Linked DNA regions of Saccharomyces cerevisiae S288C. The protein of the gene in region 1 purifies or fractionates together with the protein of each later gene. This does not show direct contact. Each region holds a gene or a part of one and is shown in the gene's direction. Other genes may lie near its edges. The genes, in order: RPN9 and SPG5.

What was found.
Region 2: the proteins of RPN9 (region 1) and SPG5 purify together in Saccharomyces cerevisiae (affinity purification with mass spectrometry, with the first as the bait; one large-scale study listed by BioGRID). This does not show direct contact.

Annotation. Positions count from the first base shown.
Region 1 is NC_001136.10:1,320,270-1,331,378, forward strand, and holds RPN9 (proteasome regulatory particle lid subunit RPN9), read left to right. Parts: upstream 1-1,935; coding exon 1,936-3,117; downstream 3,118-11,109. Other genes in the region: SNX41 (Snx41p), read left to right, coding at 1-1,672; BNA7 (arylformamidase), read right to left, coding at 3,185-3,970; TIF35 (translation initiation factor eIF3 core subunit g), read right to left, coding at 4,208-5,032; CYM1 (pitrilysin family metalloprotease), read right to left, coding at 5,232-8,201; mRNA-binding protein NPL3, read left to right, coding at 8,514-9,758; GPI-anchor transamidase GPI17, read left to right, coding at 10,968-11,109. UniProt on the Saccharomyces cerevisiae protein: Acts as a regulatory subunit of the 26S proteasome which is involved in the ATP-dependent degradation of ubiquitinated proteins.
Region 2 is NC_001145.3:644,060-647,277, forward strand, and holds SPG5 (Spg5p), read left to right. Parts: upstream 1-1,596; coding exon 1,597-2,718; downstream 2,719-3,218. Other genes in the region: ATP-dependent DNA helicase SGS1, read right to left, coding at 1-1,199; GYL1 (Gyl1p), read left to right, coding at 3,059-3,218. UniProt on the Saccharomyces cerevisiae protein: Required for survival at high temperature during stationary phase.

The DNA of each region.
Region 1 (11,109 bases):
TTCTGCTGGCTCTTCCAGAGCATCTACGTCATCTTCAACCTCTTCTCATGCCGTAGTGGAAGCAGATGCGGAAACTGAACCTTTTGTTTCCTTGTCGATGTCTACTACTGCTACTATTAGCAAATTTACTCCCCACGATATGAATGGGACACAGCAGATCCAAATCATTGATGCCGGCGATTTCAAAGATCCATGGGGGAAACACGCTATCGGTTACGTAATTCTATATGAAAACAACAAGATTATCAGAAGGTACTCTGAATTTCATTCTTTGAGGCAATCTCTAACTAGACTCCTTCCTACGATAATTATTCCACCCATTCCATCCAAGCATTCTCTTCTCAAATACATATGGAGTCCCATAAACGCAGCAAATGATTCCAAAATTATCTCCACCAGGAAGAAAATGCTCAATTCATTCTTGTCTAACTGTCTGAACATTCAAGAAATAAGCAACGATATTGTTTTTCAAAAATTTCTAAACCCTGAATTTAATTGGAAAGATGTTTTAAGTTCGTCGCCGATAATCATACTACCTTTGAATAACCTTTTAGCTCCACCTTTAAGCCCAACAAAACCAAGCCCCCTTCATTCTATTTTACCTATTCCATCCAACTCGTCTCTGAGAAACTATAATTCGATTTGGCAACAACACATCACAGTAAAAAGTCATAATGAAATTTCCAACCTCCCAACAGAAATTTTACAAAACGAATCTCAATTTACACATATTGAAAATTTATTCCAAAATTATAAGCGAATAATCACCCATTTATTAAAAAACATAAGATCAAATAAATCTCATTTCCACTCCTTGTCCACGTATTTTGCTGAATTAGGCGCATATTATAATGCTTTTAGTTTGGAAAATGACATAACCATGCCCAACAGCCTTCGCGAATCTGAAAACAATTCAAACAACCCAATGATGGAAATTATTAGTCATATTGAAAAGACAGGCCATTCATTCGATGTTATATACATTTCTTCCGAGATCTTAATAGAAAAGTACACCTCTATTCTTGAGGACCCCATTAATGAGTTATTGCAGTTCTTAAATGAGTCATTCAAAGTTCTAAATTTCAAGAAATTAAAGTTTTTGCAATTTAAAATATTAGAGAGGCTAATTATCGAAAAAGAAACGAAACTTTCGAGTCTCACTGAGATTGAAAACCAACTGCAGAAGATTAATGAAAGTTTAACGCGGTCGACTATATTGACAGATGAAAATTACAAAGATACAAAGGCTGCTGACCTGACATTTGTTAAAAAGGACGTAAGATCGCTATCGAAGTCAAGTTCAAATTCAAGCTCCAGTGGACACCAAAACGAAATTCATATAGGCGCAAGTAAACTAAACTATAAAACGTCTACGCCAACAATGAATCTCAATAAATTAGAAATCAAACAATTGACTGAACAAGAAAGATCTAAACAGATCAAACAGTTGAACCAAGATTTATCCAAATTGAAAGATTGTCTATCAATCTGTATATCAGACATGCTAGAAATTAACAATTCGTCATACAACAGCTTAATGCATACATATAACCATATTAATTTGACCATTGGAAAGATCTTGAAACTTTTCGCAGCTAGCTTCAAAGCATGGATCAAAGAATGTCTGAAGAATTGGAAACTGGCAAAGTTACAAATCGACGAGGCCCTATAAAAAGCATTACCGTCACGCATCGTGTTGCAAATAGCATATACATATATATATATATATATATACATATAACGTATACGTTAGAAAAATTTGAATACACACATTCATTTATCCTATTATTATCATTTTCATTCTTACCCGCTCCCCGCTTTCATCCGGTGGCAAAAGTAAGAACAAATAAAAGCTAGACCTAGATTGAAGAAACTATTAAGTACCAAAAAGCAAACAGTGGGCACACGCGAGGAAACCACATTATATTTCGCAAGATGTTTAATAATCATGAAATTGACACCATATTAAGCACTCTCCGCATGGAGGCAGATCCCTCTTTGCATCCTTTATTCGAACAATTTGAGAAATTTTATGAAGAGAAATTGTGGTTCCAATTGTCCGAATCCTTGACTAAATTTTTTGATGATGCTAAATCTACACCATTGAGGCTCAGATTATATGATAACTTCGTTTCTAAATTTTATGATAAAATCAACCAATTGTCAGTAGTAAAGTATCTACTTGCCTCTTTGAAGGATTCTAAGGATTTCGATGAGTCTTTAAAATATTTGGATGATTTGAAGGCTCAATTTCAAGAATTGGACTCTAAAAAACAAAGAAATAATGGATCAAAAGACCATGGTGATGGTATTTTGTTGATAGATAGCGAAATTGCTAGAACTTACCTGTTAAAGAACGACCTCGTTAAGGCAAGAGATTTATTAGATGATTTGGAAAAGACATTGGATAAAAAGGATTCCATTCCATTAAGGATAACAAACAGCTTCTATTCTACAAATTCCCAGTATTTTAAATTTAAAAATGATTTCAATTCTTTCTACTACACAAGTCTATTATACCTTTCTACCTTAGAACCATCTACAAGCATTACTTTAGCCGAACGTCAACAATTGGCCTATGATTTGAGTATCTCAGCATTGTTAGGTGACAAAATCTATAATTTTGGCGAACTATTACACCATCCAATAATGGAAACTATAGTCAACGATTCCAATTACGATTGGCTTTTCCAATTATTAAATGCTCTAACCGTTGGTGATTTTGATAAATTCGACTCATTGATAAAAGTTCAAATATCAAAGATTCCTATATTGGCTCAACATGAATCATTTTTACGACAAAAAATTTGCCTAATGACATTAATTGAAACAGTTTTTGTCAAAAATATTAGGATGCTTTCATTTGAAGATATTTCAAAGGCTACACACCTACCAAAGGATAATGTCGAACACCTGGTCATGAGAGCCATAAGTTTGGGTCTATTAAAGGGTTCTATTGACCAAGTAAATGAACTCGTTACCATCTCCTGGGTCCAACCAAGAATCATAAGTGGTGACCAAATTACAAAGATGAAGGACAGACTGGTTGAATGGAACGATCAAGTAGAAAAACTGGGCAAAAAAATGGAAGCTCGTGGCCAATCCATCTGGGTTTAGGCCATTGGCAGTTATATATAAAACACACACGCACACATATATATAAATGCAGAAATAAAATCAACTATCAACAAATATTGTCAAAAATATACTTCGCAACTTTACCATTCTTATAAACATCATTATGCAAACCCAAATCGTCCAAATACAACTTGAAACTTAACTGATAATCCTGAAGACAAGAAATTAAACAATTAGTTTGTCTTAACGTTAATAACTCGTCGCTATAAGAATGCACTAGGTGCATATCAATACTGAAGCGAGAAAGGGCTTTCTTCACGTAAGGCATTACTCTCGAGGGCTCTTCCTCGTACATTTGAATACCATCAGGGAAGGCAAGTCTTGTAAAACAATCATACTCTGGGTATTCTACCAACAGTTCCTTTAACGAGTATATACCATCCAATAGAAATACTCTCTTCACGATCTGCAAAAGTCCCAACATTTGCAATTGCGCTTCACTCATTTTTTCTTGAGGATCTTTGAGTGCAGCTAATATCTGCCAAATAAAGGTAGCTCCAACGGAATGTCCCACCATATTAATGTTCGTTAATCCCTTTTCTTTAACAAGCCTTGTTATATTTGACACAGCATCATATAAGTTTCTTGGATTTGTGATCTCTGGTGATAACCTGTATTCTATAGAGTATTGACAAACCGTTGACTCAGTATCCATTGATTTGATGGTATTGGCTAATTGATTAAAATCATTGGGCGTATTCTCAGGATCGTTCCATGCACCTCCATGAATGTATATGACAGCCTCTCTAGTGTTTTGTGAGATTTCTTGGAATGTCAATGTCTTGTTGAATAGTGTTATATCTGGTGAAATGGCTCTTACGGTATTTGACATATTCACGACAGCCTCTGAGCTTTTCCTTGCTTTGATTTTTTAGCTTGAATGGATTGCAACTTGTTGTAATCTTACAATCGTTAAAAATTTTACCATGCCGTGCGTGCTTTATAGAATATTGAACAATATTCTTTTAGGTATAGATTGATTAGTTTACATACTTTCTTTCTTAATATCTACAATTTTTATATGAGAAGAGTAACATTAGAAAACAAGTGCAGAGCATATTCTGTGCATCTATTCCTTAACCTTAGGTTTGGACCATTCAACACGTAAAATTAAATTCATATAACCCCTACCATCCAAGAAACGTAAAGCTTGTTCGGCAACTTCTTCGCTCGAAAAGGTAACAAAGGCGAGACCTCTTGATTTACCTGTTTCTTTGTTTCTAACGACAGAAACTCTTGGAATGGGTGCGAATGGGAACAATAACTCTTCTCTCAAACTATTTTCATCGGCATTTTCATTAACTTGCATAATCTTCAAAGTACACATATCATCACGTTCTCTAGAGTCTCTGTAAGCATCGGATGAAGGATCTCTTGCACCAGCACGACGAGAAGGTGGAACATACTGCCCTGGGATGGAACCAGCTCCGCCAACTTGGCCTGCCTTCTCTTCACTGGCGGCCTCGACACCGCCTTCATTAGTGGCTGGGTCTTCTAATGCTGAAAGTTCACTTAAAATTGTCTTGAATGGACAGTTCATGGTCATATGGTCGTTACCACATAATCTACATTGTAGACCGGTCTTTGTGAGACTTGCCTTTTCTTTTTGTATTCTTTCTTCTTCAGCTTGTTTCCAGTTCCTACTCAATCTTAATTCTACTTCTTCACCCAATCTTGCTGTAACAGCACTTGGACCTGCTGGAGACCCTTTTTCAGAGCCATATTTATGCCAGTTTTTTCTTTCTGCAACAGATTTATGGACTTTTTCCAATACTTTAACCTCTTTTACTTTCTGAGTAATCTTATACTTGACACCGTCTTCAATCTTGTATGTAATGATAGATCTAGATCCATCTGCATTCTCTATGATCTCCTCTGGTGCAACTTCACTCATTATTCCTGGTGGTCTTTGGTCTTTTGATCCTTTCAATACAGCGAGTAACTAGGGCTTCTCTTCCCTCTCTTTTGCCATCGTGATAATTTTTCACTTTCCACACTCAGTGAAAGAAAAAAATTTTAACTTCGTTACAAGCGATGAGTATAGATCGGCAAGAAACTTTGAAGCAGTATATTTACAGGATTAAATTATATATCTACAGTTCCTTCACCTCCCAATTTGGTGAAACAGTCTTCCCCTCGATTCCAGGTCCAATGACCGTACTCACCCCTTCTTTGTTTAGTAGATATTTTTCGGCGACTCTATGAACGTCCAGGAGAGATACGTCTAAGAGTTGTTCCCTTCTTGCTTGTTTCATATCGTCTGTAACACCGCTCATGAAATACGTCACGCCTTCTCCTTTGGGACTTTTAGGTGCGTCTACTTGTTGAAATATTGTCAATTTAGCTTCATCAAGGTCTGTGACGCCCCACTTGGCATCGTTCAGTATATAACGCCCGCTATTCTTGAAGGTTTCTAAACTCTTCAAAGGCTGAGGATCCCTATAGGAATAGAAACTGAAAATACCCGCTAAGGCGCTATAAGAAGCACCACCACCATAAGCACCACCCTTTTCTCTGACTTCTCTGTGCAAATGTTTGAATGTTAGCATATTTGACATAACTTGAAGTGCAGAGCCATCCTTATGTGTATACGGCACACCCAATAAAGCTTGGGATGTGTAATGGACCTGGAAAGGAAATTTTATCAAAGTATGTTTACATTTGGATCCAATAAGAGGATAATCTGAAGTCTTTGGTCCATTGGGCAAGCAGCTGCCATGAGGTAATCTCTCCATGAATTTTGAAATTTGGCTTTCTACTGTTTTCGCTTGAACATCAGAGTCTGAGGTGATAAAAAAATTCATGTTATTGGTATCAACAATGTACTTTTGCAATTCAGTTAGCTTGTCGACAACTTCTCTTTGGAAAGTTTCTTCATTGTCTAACAAGCTGTGCAATCTATTTATAAATTGTAGTTGCTCAATACCATTGAGGGTCTCATTTATAGCTCCACTTGATCTATAATGTGCGGCAGAATAGCCCCTTGCAAATGCATGACCGGCATCTGCTACAGAAGATGTGTTTGAAGATGCTAATAAGCGGATAAGAACTTTCAATTTATCGCTGTTTTTATGGAAATCAGTTTCTAGTAAGATCTTAGACCAGAATTCAAAAATGTGGTCGGTCTTCGAATTTAAAGACCATCCGTCAAACCCGAAAATCAGGCGAGGCTCTGTGGTGTTAGGGTCAGATGTAACCTCTACATGTGTTGATATACCACCCGTATGTAATTTTATCTGATCTTCTATTTCACTGAAGGATTCTGTTGTTGTCCCTAGGTTAGTTAACGATTCAGCAAATAAAGGTAAGTATGGGAAGAGTTCAAAGGGTATTATGTCATTTAGTAAACGTTTACCTCTGACATATGTGATACCATTGGTATCAGTAATCCTAGACATTGTATTATTCTTCTGTTCGATTGAATATTTATCACCAGCTCTTGGGATGTCTTTTATTTGTAAGGTAGGTAAACAGGATAAATCTTCTTTTTCATTTTGTTTCTCCTGTAACAGTATACCACGTTTAAAGATGTTTTTCTTGTCTTGTTCATCCAAGGCAGTAATTTTTTCTCTCAGTCTTGTTTGTTCTTCATCATCCAAAGATTTAGAGAACTCTTCAGATCCCTGAATGGAAAACGTGAAACAAGGTTTATGAACGATATATTTACGGATTAAATCTTGGAATAAAGTATCACCTTTCGTTTCTAAGTCACCTCTAAATCTTTGCAAAACGTCCTCAAACAACAAGCTCTCAAAAGGATCGATTTTGTTTGTCCAACCAGGTAGTATAGAATAGAGTAATTGAAGTCCAAAGTCAGCCTTTTGATCCTTCTTAGATAATTCCAATTGTTCAATTATGGCATCGATACGCTTGCGGTCAAAAGGATGTTCTGTTTCCAACAGGTTTTGAAAAATATTATTTACAGTGTCTTTAAATATTTCAATATCACTCACGCCCTGTATACCAACAGTTAGCAAATTTACTGCTGTAGTTGGTTCAACACCTGAATTTACGGAGAACTCCAAACCAATTCCTGATTCTATTAATTTTTGATACATTACAGAAGAATGGCCATCCATTAATAAATTCCCCAGTACTTTTAACAAAAAGGTATCATATGTGTCCTGTGGCGCTCCACAAATCCACGTCATTGAGGCTTTTGTCTGCTTCTCCGGTGGAAGCATAGTATCTATTTGACCCAGTAACTTGACATCTATGTCTTTTTTTAAATCAATAGGCATTAACAACTTATCCTTTCGAGCTCTCTTCCCGTAACCACTGAACTGCTCATTTAATTGCTTTAACGTATCCACCAATGGCAAGTTACCGTACGTGAAAGTTTTTGCATTGGAGGGATGGTAATTTTTGTGATGGAAATCCAAGAGATCGCCGTATCTCAAGTCTGTAATTTTCATAGGATCTCCGCCGGAGTTATTCAGGGAAGGATAAATAGACTGTTGAAATTTACTCCAGAAATAGTAATTGGCATTTGATATTTGACCTTTCATTTCGTTATAGACAACACCTTTGAAAACAATGTTACTCTCCGGGTCTGTGATGTTTTTATGCTCCAACCTCCAACCCTCCTGATCAAAATCTTCTTGTTTAAGTAGCGGATTCAAGGTGGAGTCTAAATAAACACCTCTTAAATTAGCGAAATCTTGAGGGTTCGTAGTGGAAAAGGGAAAAAATGTATAATCTGGACCTGTCATAGCGTTCATGAAATTAGCTAGAGATTTATTTAGCATTTTGAAAAAAGGGTCCCTAACTGGATATTTAACAGACCCACACAACGTTGTATGCTCTAGAATATGAGGGACCCCAGTGGAATCTGGAGGGTTGGTTTTAAAAGCAATGCTGAACACATTATTCTTGTCGTCTCTATCAATATGCAAATGCTCGGCTCCTGTCTGGGAGTGCACCAAATCTACCGCAGTGAGTCTCAGCTCCGGAACCGGTAGAATTCTTCTCACTTCATAACCATGGAATATACCTCCAACTGGATATTTTCTAACGGCCTGTGCTTGGGCATACGAGGACGCAAATCGCTGAAACCGCAACATATATACCGCAGTATATTTTATAGTAACTTTATTCTTTTGAGTAGCCTTCTAATTGGTGGCTTATTGATTACAATTGCTTGTTATCATATCTGTCAATGCTTGTTCAACAATTCAATGATTTACTACTACCTTTATCATAGAGCCCCTCCGTATATTTATCACTGTAAACGAAGGGCAAAATTTTTTACATTCTTTTTTTTCGCCACCCAAAGGGATTTAAAAAGGACATGAGAAAAATAATTTCCTCTCTTCTAAATATATATACTTTTGAAGGAATCAAAATTAAGCAATTACGCTAAAACCATAAGGATAATGTCTGAAGCTCAAGAAACTCACGTAGAGCAACTACCAGAATCTGTTGTCGATGCCCCAGTCGAAGAACAGCACCAAGAACCACCACAGGCTCCAGATGCTCCACAAGAACCACAAGTTCCACAGGAATCTGCTCCACAGGAATCTGCTCCACAAGAACCACCAGCTCCACAAGAACAAAATGACGTTCCTCCACCATCTAATGCTCCAATTTATGAAGGCGAAGAATCCCACAGTGTCCAAGACTACCAAGAGGCCCACCAGCACCACCAACCACCTGAACCCCAACCATATTATCCTCCTCCTCCTCCAGGTGAACACATGCACGGTCGCCCACCAATGCACCACCGTCAAGAAGGAGAACTCTCGAACACCAGATTGTTTGTTAGACCTTTCCCATTGGACGTTCAAGAATCCGAGTTGAATGAAATCTTTGGTCCATTTGGACCAATGAAGGAAGTCAAGATCTTGAACGGCTTCGCGTTTGTTGAATTTGAAGAAGCAGAATCCGCTGCCAAAGCCATTGAAGAAGTTCACGGTAAGAGTTTTGCTAACCAACCTTTGGAAGTTGTTTACTCTAAATTGCCTGCCAAGAGATACCGTATCACCATGAAAAACTTACCAGAAGGTTGTTCATGGCAAGATCTTAAAGATTTAGCCAGGGAAAATAGTTTAGAAACTACTTTTTCTAGCGTCAATACCAGAGATTTTGATGGTACCGGTGCTCTAGAATTCCCTAGTGAAGAAATCTTGGTCGAAGCTTTGGAGAGATTAAACAATATTGAATTCAGAGGTTCTGTCATTACTGTTGAAAGAGATGACAATCCTCCACCAATCAGAAGATCAAATAGAGGTGGCTTCAGAGGTCGCGGCGGCTTCAGAGGCGGCTTCAGAGGTGGCTTCAGAGGCGGTTTCTCCAGAGGCGGCTTCGGTGGCCCCAGAGGTGGATTTGGTGGTCCAAGAGGTGGTTACGGTGGCTATTCCAGAGGTGGCTACGGTGGCTACTCCAGAGGCGGATATGGTGGCTCCAGAGGTGGTTACGATAGTCCTAGAGGTGGTTACGATAGTCCAAGAGGTGGTTATTCCAGAGGTGGCTATGGTGGTCCAAGAAATGATTACGGTCCTCCAAGAGGTAGCTACGGTGGTTCAAGAGGTGGTTATGATGGTCCAAGAGGCGATTATGGTCCTCCAAGAGATGCATACAGAACCAGAGATGCTCCACGTGAAAGATCACCAACCAGGTAAGCCATTTATATAGTTGAGAAAAAAAAAGGAGAAATTAACAAAAGATATGAATTGTTTTAAAACTTAAATATGAGACTGAGAACAAATGAAAAAGGAAAACATCGTATTAAATGTTGAAAAAGTTTTTTTTTTGAAGAACTTCCTCCCCATTCCCTCCCCTCCCTTTTATTAAGTATAGTTTTTGTTTATTAATAAGTTTAGTGTTAGAAGATCCCAAAGTATATGATTGAAAACAGAATTGTTTATTGCGAGTCCCGACTTCACTCCAGTAGATAGAATAATCCCATGATAACATTTAACATCCTTTTTACAACGGAATTTCATTTCCAAATTGATGAGTCGTTAAAACTTCTGTATTGGATTTTAATTAGACCTTCTTTCGTGTAATACTACTACTACTACCTCTAGATTCTTATGTGTCTTTCAATTTTTTTTATTTCCCTGCACCAAACTATCTTTTATTGAATGGAATGTGCTGCAAAATTAACAAAAATAAGTTTTACTTAAAGTTTCTAACGAGAATCTCCTCTTCAACATACGGGCAGGATAATATAATTGACTATACTGATAATGAACCCCGTTTTTTGTTATCTTGTGAGATAACTCAGTGGAAACTTGATCTAGCAGTAGACCAGTTTCCCCTCCCCCAATTAATACTAGAAAGTTGAGAAACTACAGAAATCTTGTAATTTAACCATTTTTTTGTCCCAAGCCGATCTATTTTGGATATCTTATTGTCATTTTTCAAGTGAAAAAAGGTCTCCCTTTCTATACGAGAGTTCTCATATGGAATGAGAGAATAAGCGGTAAGATATCGAACATTCACAAGAAATAAAGTACCAGTTAAGAGGTGCAATTGAATATATACAATATCCTATCATCTTAGTCCTTTGAGTATGCAAAAAGCTACAAATATAGTTGTTAGTTTGGGTCAGGCTAATTTCAAAGAATTTGAACTCCTATAAAGTTAAGTTGAAGAAACTAATAAGTACTATTATGGCCTGTTAAATCTGTGTTACGTATTAAATGATGTGTAATCCAGAAGTTATAAATAATGAAAGATGTCCTTACGTGGAGCTTAATAACAGAGATACAAAGTTTAAAAGGGAACTCGTGTACTAATTGAAGTGTGTACGTGTGCATTAATATTAATAAGGGATAAATAACGATAAAAGAGCCGCTCTTTGATAAGGATTACACGCCAGAATAATGTCCAATGCAAATCTAAGAAAATGGGTTGGTTTTTGCTTTGTTGCCATTTATCTCTTTTTAGGTGTTCCACTGTGGTACAAGCTAACTACAGTTTATAGAGCATCACTACCAATAAATTACATTGAGTCACTTCAAAATA
Region 2 (3,218 bases), on another chromosome or scaffold:
GGATAATCGTCCCTCAAAGATTTACCCATAACATAGTCAAAAGGATCATCCCTATCAGGTATTCTGTAGTTGACTGGTTCTCTTGAACGCATATTTCTCCTTCTTGTAAGTTCATCTTGTTCTTCTGACGTCATGTGGAGATGCGGGAATGCGGGAGAATGTGGAGCCCCCTCCTTCAATATTACAGGAGGGTCACAGTCTATATCATCCTCATCATCCAGGACTTGAATCAAATCATCGTTATTACTATCATTATTGCTATTCTTACCGGTGTTATTAGTAATATTTTGCTTCGCACCAGTGATGGCTAATGCCTTAGTGACGGTAGTCGCAGTAGTACTTGTCAGGTTTGAATTCCTGGAAGATGTATTGTATTCCAAGGGGCTGGGCAGAATGCTTGATATGATATTATCATCTTGTGAAGAAACTTGACTGCGACCTTTACTTTGATCTTTTGACATTCCATCTTTTTTGGCTTTTATGATCTCCTTTTCCAGACTATCTATTCGTATCGACATATTTGATAACTGAGGCCGTATATCCCTACTTAACTGTAGCCTTTTAGCGTCCTCTGACAATGATGTGGATTCGATAATACTACACTTCTGTAGCAATAATTTCGATTGCTCTTTCAATGCCATAATTAGGGAGCCTTGAAGGCGGATCACCTCTAATTTTATATCATTTTCGAGCTGTTTGCCTATACTTGAATTATCGATTACGCTTTTATTGTTATTTCTACTACCTAGATTTCTGCTACTGTCATTTTCGACAAGAGAACTAGCCATGTGCGGTCGAAAAGTATTGAAATTGTGAGTTTTCGAGCCATTGGGCGTCCTCGGGTTCGATACAACACTTGTGCTGGCTGGTATATCAACCATGGGTACGTCAGCATATTGATTCGATGTGGCAGTGTACGAGAGCCATTCTGTATCGTTCGACAAAGTTTGCATGACTTCATGTTGTTTCGTAGCAGTATTCGTTGGTCCAGATGCAGGAATGCTGGTTATAAAGTTTGTTGTTCCTGGTCCACATTCATCTTTGGATGGCGTTGTTGGTGGCGAATTTGTCTTAGGCCTTTTGTTCGCGATGTGCTTTTGGATAGCCTGGAATACGAAATCTTTGTCTTCCTGTAAAGTCGCCGTTTCCTTTAACCATTTGTGCTCCCTTCTTAAGTTATGTGACGGCTTCGTCACCATTACCGCCTTGTGTGTACGTGTATGATTTTTTAAATATATACAACAATAATCTGTATTTTTTCCTTTCCTCTAGCCAATGACTCCAAGCTGGCTGATAAAAACAAACTAAACGGTAAAGCCACAAATCCGAAATGTATCACCAATGATCACCCAGCCTGCTAAGTGCCCTCTATTGATCCGTATATCAGCTTTTAGATCAGGCTCGAGTTTCTTGTTATATGTGCATTGCAAAAGCATAAACAAATCCTGGCAGCCGAAGCCGGGCAATCCACTTCGAAACGCACGGCTGAACTATATAAATATAAAGGACATGTGGAGAGAAGCTTCTCTTCCTTCACATTTCGCATTTCATGATCTAAAGTGGTTCTTTCACAATAGAAGAGCACCAACACGAAATATGGCTGTCGGTGGTAATAACTGGAGCATGTGGCTGCGAATGTCACGGGTCCACCTCAGGCAGATCACGAAGTCTCTGGACCGAACGCTGATCAGTTTGAGCCATGGGAATTTTTCCCACCAATATAATCGCAATATTTTTGTCACTTGGTGGAAGAGCCTATTTGAGGCTTCTACAGCTTTTAGGAGGGCAAGTGGTTTAACGGTATCTCCTCTCACGAGGAGAGGAATCGCAAGGTTTGACCATTTCAGACCTGTTCCCAATGTCAGTAAATTTGCTTCTTTTCCCAGAGTGCCCAAAGGAGCCCCAAGGGGCCTTTTTACCAACTGGAATATGACTACATCAAAGAGATTATTAGGGCAGAGAGCTTATTCGACTTCCAGTATCAAATTTACCCAAGAAGCCGTGAATAACATGACTATATCTTTGAGGTGTTTTTTCAACTCACTAGGCGGATTAAATCAGTGCTCCCACTCTAATTCCTGCAAAGCTTATCAGAATGCGTCTAATGTTACCTCTAAACAGGATCACGTCCAACCAGTTGCCCTTAAGAAGTTATCTCAAAAGGATATCAATTTCATTCGTAATTTAGAACTATTTAAGATAATGAAGACCCAGAATGAAGTCGTTGATGAAACAAGCGCATATTACATGGAAAAACCAGGTTCCTATATTGAATTTACCATTTCAGAATTTAACGTTAATGGGACATTCTCCGCACCTTTGTCATTTTTAGATCCTTCTTTGTTAGCGGATTTGGATGAAATGATTAGAAATTACAAATACGAATTAAAATCAATATACAGTAGTGTTGACATGATCTTGCAGAATTATGGATCATTGCCGATAACTTTTCATCGAAATAAGATTCGAATACATTTTCCAAACTCAACTGTGGTGGAAACAGAAAAACTAATTGCAGGTCTGAATATTGCTACGGGTGTTATTTACGCAGATACGTCTCCCGATATCAGTCTAGAAGGTACAAATTTGAATGCTCTGGTTAATGTTGACAATTCAGGAAGCGTATGGTCTTTTGTTAAGGAGCCCTCGTTTCCCTCTAGGAGCGCTTTTTCACCTATTTTATCAGATGCATCCTATGATACTTATGAATTGGTCTAGCAAAGACGTTGTTTCATCGCGCTATTACCAAGAAGGTTACTTTACTTGTTCTTGCACATGGACGCACGTTGTGTGTTCATATATATATATATATATATATATATATATTTGTGCTTGTTTTCATTGTCTCTATAGTTAATACATTCTATTTTTATCGTTATATTTGCATTCTCTTCGCATAAAAACTTCATGAAAATTCGGCAGAAAATAAGCCATATATGTACTTTATCCATAGGCAAAGAAAAGCACTTAACGAGAATATACAACAATTGCACTAGTACTGCATGTATATACTCTTATGATTATAGCGGCAAGAAAACAAATATAAACACACTAACAGATGAATTCGAATGAAGATATACATGAAGAACGCATTGAAGTTCCACGAACTCCCCATCAAACCCAGCCAGAGAAAGACTCTGATCGCATCGCTCTCAGGGATGAAATATCAGTACCAGAAGGCGATGAAAAAGCATATTCGGATGAGAAAGTAGAAATGG